Linked DNA regions of Ovis aries. The protein of the gene in region 2 purifies or fractionates together with the protein of the main gene of each other region. This does not show direct contact. Links are inferred from orthologs where the notes say so. Each region holds a gene or a part of one and is shown on either strand. Other genes may lie near its edges. The genes, in order: DYRK1A and FNTB.

Evidence for each region.
Region 1: the proteins of FNTB (region 2) and DYRK1A purify together in Homo sapiens (affinity purification with mass spectrometry; 3 studies listed by BioGRID, counting the BioPlex papers as one). This does not show direct contact. The link is inferred for Ovis aries from reciprocal best matches to the Homo sapiens genes FNTB and DYRK1A.

What each region holds. Positions count from the first base shown.
Region 1 is NC_056054.1:270,310,157-270,313,968, reverse strand, and holds part of DYRK1A (dual specificity tyrosine-phosphorylation-regulated kinase 1A), read right to left. Parts: intron 541-3,812; coding exon 1-540. UniProt on the Homo sapiens protein: Dual-specificity kinase which possesses both serine/threonine and tyrosine kinase activities. Exhibits a substrate preference for proline at position P+1 and arginine at position P-3.
Region 2 is NC_056060.1:75,180,066-75,184,418, reverse strand, and holds the start of FNTB (protein farnesyltransferase subunit beta), read right to left. Parts: upstream 3,072-4,353; 5' UTR 2,989-3,071; coding exon 2,845-2,988; intron 1-2,844. UniProt on the Homo sapiens protein: Essential subunit of the farnesyltransferase complex. Catalyzes the transfer of a farnesyl moiety from farnesyl diphosphate to a cysteine at the fourth position from the C-terminus of several proteins having the C-terminal sequence Cys-aliphatic-aliphatic-X.

The DNA.
Region 1 (3,812 bases), on a different chromosome or scaffold from region 2:
CAGATGTCCTTCAGTCATGTAATGTGCAGGACCTGTGTTAGCAGAAAATTGGTATGTTGGATGTCCAGCTATGCCAGTCTCTTGGCGGGGATTGGAGTAGACGGTTAAATTAACGTCCATAGCTCCGTTCTGTCCAAAGTCCAAGGTGTTAGCAGCCACTGGGCGGTTCTGGTAGGCCTGGTTGCCTTGATTACCAGTAGAGGAGGAAGATGTAGAGGAAGAAGTGGTTGAGGAAGACAGGGATGTCATGGAGTGGTGACTGTGGCCAACCTCCATAGAATCCTGGGTAGAGGAGCTATTTGTTGGAGAATTGTAGACCCTTGGCCTGGTCCGGTTGCCCAAGGCTTGCTGTCCGTGGTGGTGGTGGTGGTGGTGGTGGTGGTGGTGGTGATGGGAACTGTTTCCGTGGTGGTGATGCAATGCATTCTGCTGAGGGGCTACATGAAAGGTGGTTTCTTGAACGGGATGAGTTTCAACAGTGACTTGTGTAGGAGCTTCAGTGCCTGACCAACCAAGGGGAGCAGGAAACTGCTGACGCACCTGGAAGAGCAGATTGTAAAAAGATTTATTCAGGACGTTTCCAAGCTTTAATCTTCAATTAAAAGCTACATTAGCATTTACATTAGAGAGAGGGGTTTGAAATTTTAATGTTTTAGACAGCTCTCTAACACAAACTTGCAAATATGTTTCAAGAGTGTTTTTATCAAGTTATACCCAAAAATAGGGTCGTATGTTTTATTGGCCACTTTCCTTCCTTGGGAGCACTGTTTATGCCAGGGGTCAGCAAACTTCTTCTGGAAAAGGCCAGAGAGTAAACCTGGTTATTTCTGATCAGTCCAAAAGACATTCTTTACCCTAAAGCCCCTCCTCTCTATCTTTCCTGTTTTAACTGAACCACTACTATGCATTTAGCTGCCTAACCACTCAAACAATCAGTGAGTACTACTAAAGCCACCTCCAATAAGAACTCACATCTGGCATCTCTTCATTACTTTATCCGAGGTCACTACCATCTTGCCTAGACTAACACAACAGCCTCCTAAATCAACTCCCATCTTCCACCCTTGCCATTTACCGAACCACTCTCCAAATCACAAGAATAATCTTTTTAAAACAGATATCCAGATTATTGAGCATGAAAAAGAAATAAAAAGCAACCAAATTGGAAATAAAGAAGTAACCTGGCTGCTGCATACACATGGTGCAACATTATATATGGAAAACCCTGACGACTCCATAAGGAACTTATGGAGATAATAAATTCAGTAGAGTTACAGGACACAAAGTCAATTACACAAAAACCTATTGCATTTCTATATACTAACAATAAAATAAAATATCAGAAAAAGAAAACAATCCCATTTACAAAGGCATCAAAAAGAACAAAATAAGCAAAAAATAAATTTAACCAAGGAGGAGAAAGAGCTTTATATGGAAAAAGGACACTAGGAAGAGACATGGCAGACCCAAGGCGACGGGAAGACTGTCCACGCTCACCGACTGTAAGAGAGGGAATCAGTGCCGTTAAAGTGTCCAAACTACTGAACGCAATCTACAGATTCAATGCTATCCCTATCAAAATTAAAAATCCAATGGCATTTTTTTCAAAAAAATAGAACAAAATCCTAAAATTTGTAATCCACAAAAAATATCCAAGTAGTCAAAGCAACCCTGAGGAAGAAAAAGCTGGAAGCATCACACTCCTTGATACAGAACTATACTACAAAGCGACAGTAACCAAATACAGCAAGGTACCAGCATAAAAACCAGCACACAGATCAACGGAACAGACGAGGGAGCCCAGAAATAAACCTATGTGTATACAGTCGATTAATTTGTGAGAAAGAACCAAACATATATGATGGAGAAAGGCTATTCCCTTCAATAAATGGTGTCGTGAGACTTCCCAGTGGTCCAGCAGTTAAGAATCCACATGCCAACGCCAGGAACACAGGTCTGATCCCTGCCCAGGAAAACGCCCGAGGCCACGGGGAAACGAAGACTGGGCACCACAAATACTGCAGGCCACGCTCTGCACCGAGAGGCTGCCACAAGAGAGGCCCACACAGCTCAGCAAAGAGCAGCCCCACTCGCAGAGACCAGAGCGAGCCTGTGCGCAACAGCGAAGCCCACACAGCTCAGTAAAGAGCAGCTCTACTCGTGGAGACCACAGAGAGCCTGTGCGCAACCCAGAGGAGAAATTAGTTAATTAATTTAAATGGTGTCAGGAAAACTAGACAGCCAGATACAAAAGAATGAAACTCAACCACCATTTTACACCAAACCCCAAATGAACTCAACATGGATTAAAGACTTGAAGCCATAAAACTCCTAGAAGGAAACAGTCTGGAATAAGCCCTGGCGATGATTTTTTCAATCTGACACCAAAGCAAAAGCAACAAAAGCAAAAATAAACAAATGAGACTATATTATACTAAAAACCTACTGTACAGTAAAGGAAACCATCAACAAAACAAAAAGGCAACCTACTGAATGAGAGAAAACATTTGTCAACCACATATCTGATAAGAGGCTAATATCCCAAGCATAAAAAGAACTGATAAAACTCATTAGTAAAAACCCAAATAATCTGACTTAAAAACGGCCAGGAGATCCGACTACACGTTTCCAAAGAAGACACAAAGATGGCCACCATGCACAAGGAAAGCAACTCAACATCATTTGTCACTTGGAAAATGCAAACCCAAACCACAATGAGACATCACTCTCAAAAAGACAACAAAGGACAACTGCTGGTGAGGATGCAGAAAAAAGGAAACCCTCACACACTGCTGATGGGAATATATGGTAGTACAACCATTATATGGAAAACAGTAGGGAGGAGGTTCTTCAAAAAATTAAAAACAGAACTACCACATGATATTATGATTATACAGTGGAAGTGAAACTCACGGGATTAGATCTGATAGGGAGCCTGATGAACTATGGACGGAGGTTCATGACACTGTACAGGAAGACAGGGATCAAGATCATCCCCAAGAAAAAGAAATGCAAAAAAGCAAAAGGGCTGTCTGAGGAGCCCTTACAAATAGCTATGAAAAGAATAGCAGAGAAAAGCAAAGGAGAAAATGAAATTTTACCCATTTGAGTGCAGAGTTCCAAAGAATAGCAAGGAGAGATAAGAAAGGCTTCCTCAGCGATCAGTGCAAAGATACAGAGGAAAACAATATAATGGGAAAGACTAGAGATCTCTTCAAGAAAACGAGAGATACCAAGGGAACATTTCATGGAAAGATGGGCTCAATGAAGGATAGAAATGGTATGGACCTAACAGAAGCAGAAGCTATTAAGAAGAGGTGGCAAGAATACACAGAAGAACTATACAAAAAAAGATCTTCACGACCCAGATAATCACAAACCAGACATTCTGGAATGTGAAATCAAGTGGGCCTTAGGAAGCATCACCACGAACAAAGCTAATGGAGGTGATGGAATTTCTGTTGAGCTATTTCAAATCCTAAAAGATGATGCTGTGAAAGTGCTGCACTCAATATGCCAACAAATTTGGAAAACTCAGCAGTGGCCACAGGACTGGAAAAGGTCAGTTTTCATTCTAATCCCAAAGAAATGCAACGCCAAAGAATGCTCAAACTACTGCACAACTGCACTCATCTCACACGCTAGTAAAGTAATGCTCAAAATTCTCCAAGCCAGACTTCAACAGTACATGAACCATGAACTTCCAGATGTTCAAGTTGGTTTTACAAAACACAGAACCAGAAATCAAACTACCAACATCTGTTGGGTTATTGAAAAGGCAACAGAGTTCCAGAAAAACATCTATGTCTGCT
Region 2 (4,353 bases):
GACTAAGGTGGTCTAGAGACTTTGGGCCACTATTCATAGGGCCTAGTCCATCAGTGAAACCTTCACCAGACCTGGAAATGAGCAGTCCAAGCACTGTGGGACAAAATGGTCATGAAATGCCCCCCAAACTATGGTCGAATTTATGACCCGGAAGGGGCCCTGCCAACTGAAAATTGGCACTTTCCATCTGACTCTGCAACAAAGAGATCACTGGGTACTGTGGCCACTGACCTTCAACACATCCCCGAAAGGAGTTCAGTGTGGAGATCAAGGATGAGGTGCTCTGTGCGCTGGAAAAACTGACAGAACAAGCCTTCAGATGGTTATAGTTTCAAGAGATTTTATGAGCCCAAATTCTTACATCATCTCATACCTAGATAACACTAAAATTTTTATCAGAGACACCTGCTTTGGCCAATTAAGGAGAAAAATGAAACTGAAAGTCAAAGTGGAGTCGCTGTGGTTGAGACACTTAAGGTTATTAATATTAGGAGGCATTATGGACGTGATTTCAGACAAGGCCAAGTACTGCTGAGAACTTGAGTTTTCTGAGCTATGTCAGACATGGGATGTCACCGGCATTTCTCAAAACAATGTCCACTGGTGACTGGTAGCTGCAACATTATGGCTTCAAGGTATCCTCTTGTAACTAAAAAATGAAAGTGCTTTAGATCAGGTATTAACAAAAAGAAGAAATATATGTGTAGTGGCCAATAGCTCCTGTTATGTCAATGCTACATCAGAAGTTAAAACTTACTTAGGTGCAATTAGACAACTGGTTTCAAGTCTCCCAAAGGTGCAAGGTTCAGAAAGGCTTTCAAGCTTATTCTTCTAAATACCTCAGGGAATGAGATTTATTTTGCCTATTCCAGGTTTCACTCCTCTAATTACTTCTAATTAAGTCTGTTACACCAAAATGGTGGAACAGAGGATTAAGATCTTAATAATAAGAGACTCAGATCCAGTACCTAGAACTCAGAAACATTTCCAATTCAGTGTCTAGTCCCTAAACTGAGACAAGACTAGGCCCCATTTCAACAGGAATTTGCCACTGCTATTGTTGTCCCATTCCCTGAAAGACTGAGAAGTATCAAAGAAGGGACTGACACTGAGCAGGAATCTGTGGGGCTCCCACAGAGTACAAATCCTTTCTGTTTCCTGTTTGTAGGTTATAGGTTTCATTCAGCCTCCTTGACCTTCACTGAGTTCCAAAGGGCAGATTCAAACAGCTGCTAATCAGGGAAGGGAAAGGATGCAAAAACAGGGGAGGAACAGCCAAGTGGTGGGACATCCTTGGGGCAGGGTCCTGGTTCCTACTCCAGAAGCATGCATAACTGTATCTTTGAGTTCTAATGACAAACTGCCCCCCCCTCCCTCACAACACACACACACACACACACACACACACACACACACACACCCCCAAAGTGGAGGATGGTAACTTCAGGCTGAGCCCAAGATTCCTGGAGCACCATACCTCACCACCTACCAGTCAGAAGAAAGTCACACACTCTGCAGCCCTCACCCCAAATGTTGCCTTTCTTCCCCCCCTCTCCTCCAAGCCCCGCAATAAACATCCTATTAGGCCTCCTGTTTAGCCCCTGTCTGTTTCATCTGCTTACAAGGTTTATCTCCGACAGAGTCCAACAGTTTCAGGCCAAATTGTTACTATAAGGGTGGAAGTCAGTTTTAGACACAGAATGCCTAGATTTAGATCAGGTGGAGAGAGATTTCTACTCTAGAAGGAAATGGCAACCCACTCCAGTGTTCCTGCCTGGAGAATCCCAGGGATGGGGGAGCCTGGTGGGCTGCTGTCTATGGGGTCGCACAGAGTCGGACACTACTGAAGCGACTTAGCAGCAGCAGCAGCAGATAAGAAGGTGCCCACTGCCAACAGGAAGTAGCTACAGAAGAAAGAAACCTCTGCCCCAATTCCCAATAAGTATGTTGAGTATGAAGTGTCTCAGGGGAGTTAGGTAAGTGTTGACCAAAATCACCCAACTTGGCCAACAAGAGGTCCCCATAAGCAACGTGGTGCTTCAGAGAAAAACTAACCAGGAGAATTCAGGAGGGGCTCAACGATAGAGACCAACCTCCCAGAGTCTTTCTCCCTGGAATCCATCTTGGCTGAGAGATGCATGCCAAAAAAGGACCCTGAGTTAGGCTATGAACCAAGCAACATGATTGGCCAGAGACAACCTAGTAATTAATCCCAATACCATAAAACCTGAAACTGTGAGCCACACGTGGCAGACCAGTTCCCCTGGGTTCCTTTACCCTGCTGCTTCTCCACCCAGGCACCCCGTTCTCAGTAAAATCTCTTGCTCTGTCAGCACACGTATCTCCTTAGACAATTCATTCCCGAGTGTTAGGCAAAAGCCCACTATCAGGCCCTACAAAGGTTCCCCCTTCCTACAACAGAACGGCATGACCACAGTCTGGGCAATTCTCTTCCCCTTCTTTGTCCCACAACTACAATCAGGCTGTAAAAAGTGAACTCTCCATCAGAGAACCTCCCAATGTCAGGCAGAAAGGAGTGGGCTGTAAATCCGTTTGGGCTGCTTCAGTACTCCAGGTACGGAACAAAATCCTCTCTGCTCCCCAAGGCTTAGGTACTGTTCTCTCGCTCCAGCTTTGACATCGACCCCTCCCCAACCTGGGCCAAAAAACCTCCACTCCCCCAGCCCAAGCCTGGGCGCCCGGAGCTTCCCAAAGGGGAAGCGCCGCGGTGCACCCTGGGAGCTGTAGTTCCCAGGTGAGTTCCGCGCCCCAGCAGCCCTGAAGACCGGACTCCCGCTCCCAGAAGCCCGCGCGCGGGCGCCTCACCCAGTCAAGCCACCTCACCTGTTCTATGGACGTGACTGTTTCCACCGAGTCGTCCTGCAACCGCTCCCGCGCGTGCTCTGGCCTCAGACTGTACAGCGGCTCTGACCAGACAGGGGAGGAAGATGGAGGGCAACAGTAGGTGAAGGAACTCGGAGAAGCCATGATCCGGAAAGCAGCAGGCGGTGTATAGGGCTCAGCTTCGGCAAGCCACAACGCGCATTGAAACTCGAGCGGGCTAAGGCGCTACGGTGAGCGGGTAGAGTCAAAAGATTCTGAACGCGAATTGCTCCTGCCACCTACACATCTTCAGGGAGTGGGATGCTGCCGCCCCCAACTGGACAGAGGGTTTGCTGCAAGAGGCTCAGTTTCCTAGCGGCAGGGAAGAATGTGTACGTCCGAATTTCATTTCACACACACCCCTCTTTTCAACATTCTGCACATTCTCACTTAATTGTTATGTCAGTAGTCTGCAGTTGCGAGTGCCCAAGAGCCCAATGAGTGTAACTCGTAAAGCATTTCTGACAGCTCTCCTGTCTCAGTCATGCTATTACGAATAGAATTATTGTTCACCTTTGTGTACGTGACAGCCGCCCAGGAAAAGCCAGCAAGTAGCTTCTCCACAAAGGCATCGCCATCTCCGCACTTAGTGATGGAGGGAAGGGGCACTATAATTTTCTCCTATCTCATTGGGGTTACAGTGCAGTAGCAGAAACGAAAACTCAGTAGAAGGAACAAGTATAAGTGAAACAACCAAGAAATATTTACTCATTCATTTAGAAATTTTAAATGAAGTCAGGGCACCCGTGCAAGGTGCCAGGAATACAAAAGTGAGCGAAGCAAATAAGGCCCTTGCCCGTGGGAATCCTACAGTCTGGTAGAATTGACAGAATTTAAGTGAATGAACACAATAAATACATGAAAACTTGTGATAAATTGTATGAAGGAAAAACAACAGGATCTGTGAAAATAAAGGAGGAGGGGACTAATTAGACTGGCTGGTCTGGCCAAGCCTCTCCAGGTAAGTGACATGGAGAATGAGACTTGAGAGATAACAAGGAGCCATCCACGTCAACAACATCAAGAAGAACCTCACAAGAGAAAGGAACAGCAAGTTCCAAGAACATGCAATAAATATGCTCACGTGTGTTTGTATTTAATCTGAAGGTGTTCCAAATAAAATTCCTCTTAAGTGGGGTTAATCATCATATACGTCTCCATTAAATGTTCAAGTAGTGATTTTAGGAAAACTCTGCTACCTTTGGGCAAGCGATAGAAGAGACCCTCTTTCAGGGACCCACAACAAAAAGACTACTCCAAAATTATAATACCAAGAGGTTAAATTATTTAGAGTAGGGGTGGGGGCTTGGGGGTTTGAGACGACAAGATGGTAACAGACTTTCCAGATAAACTTGGACACAAGATCCATTTCCAGCTCAGAGGATTTTGCTCTGTTCCCACTCAATTCCAAGTCACATGTCTAGGACCCAGGAAACCATGGTATGATATTTCACAACCAGCCATCCCCCT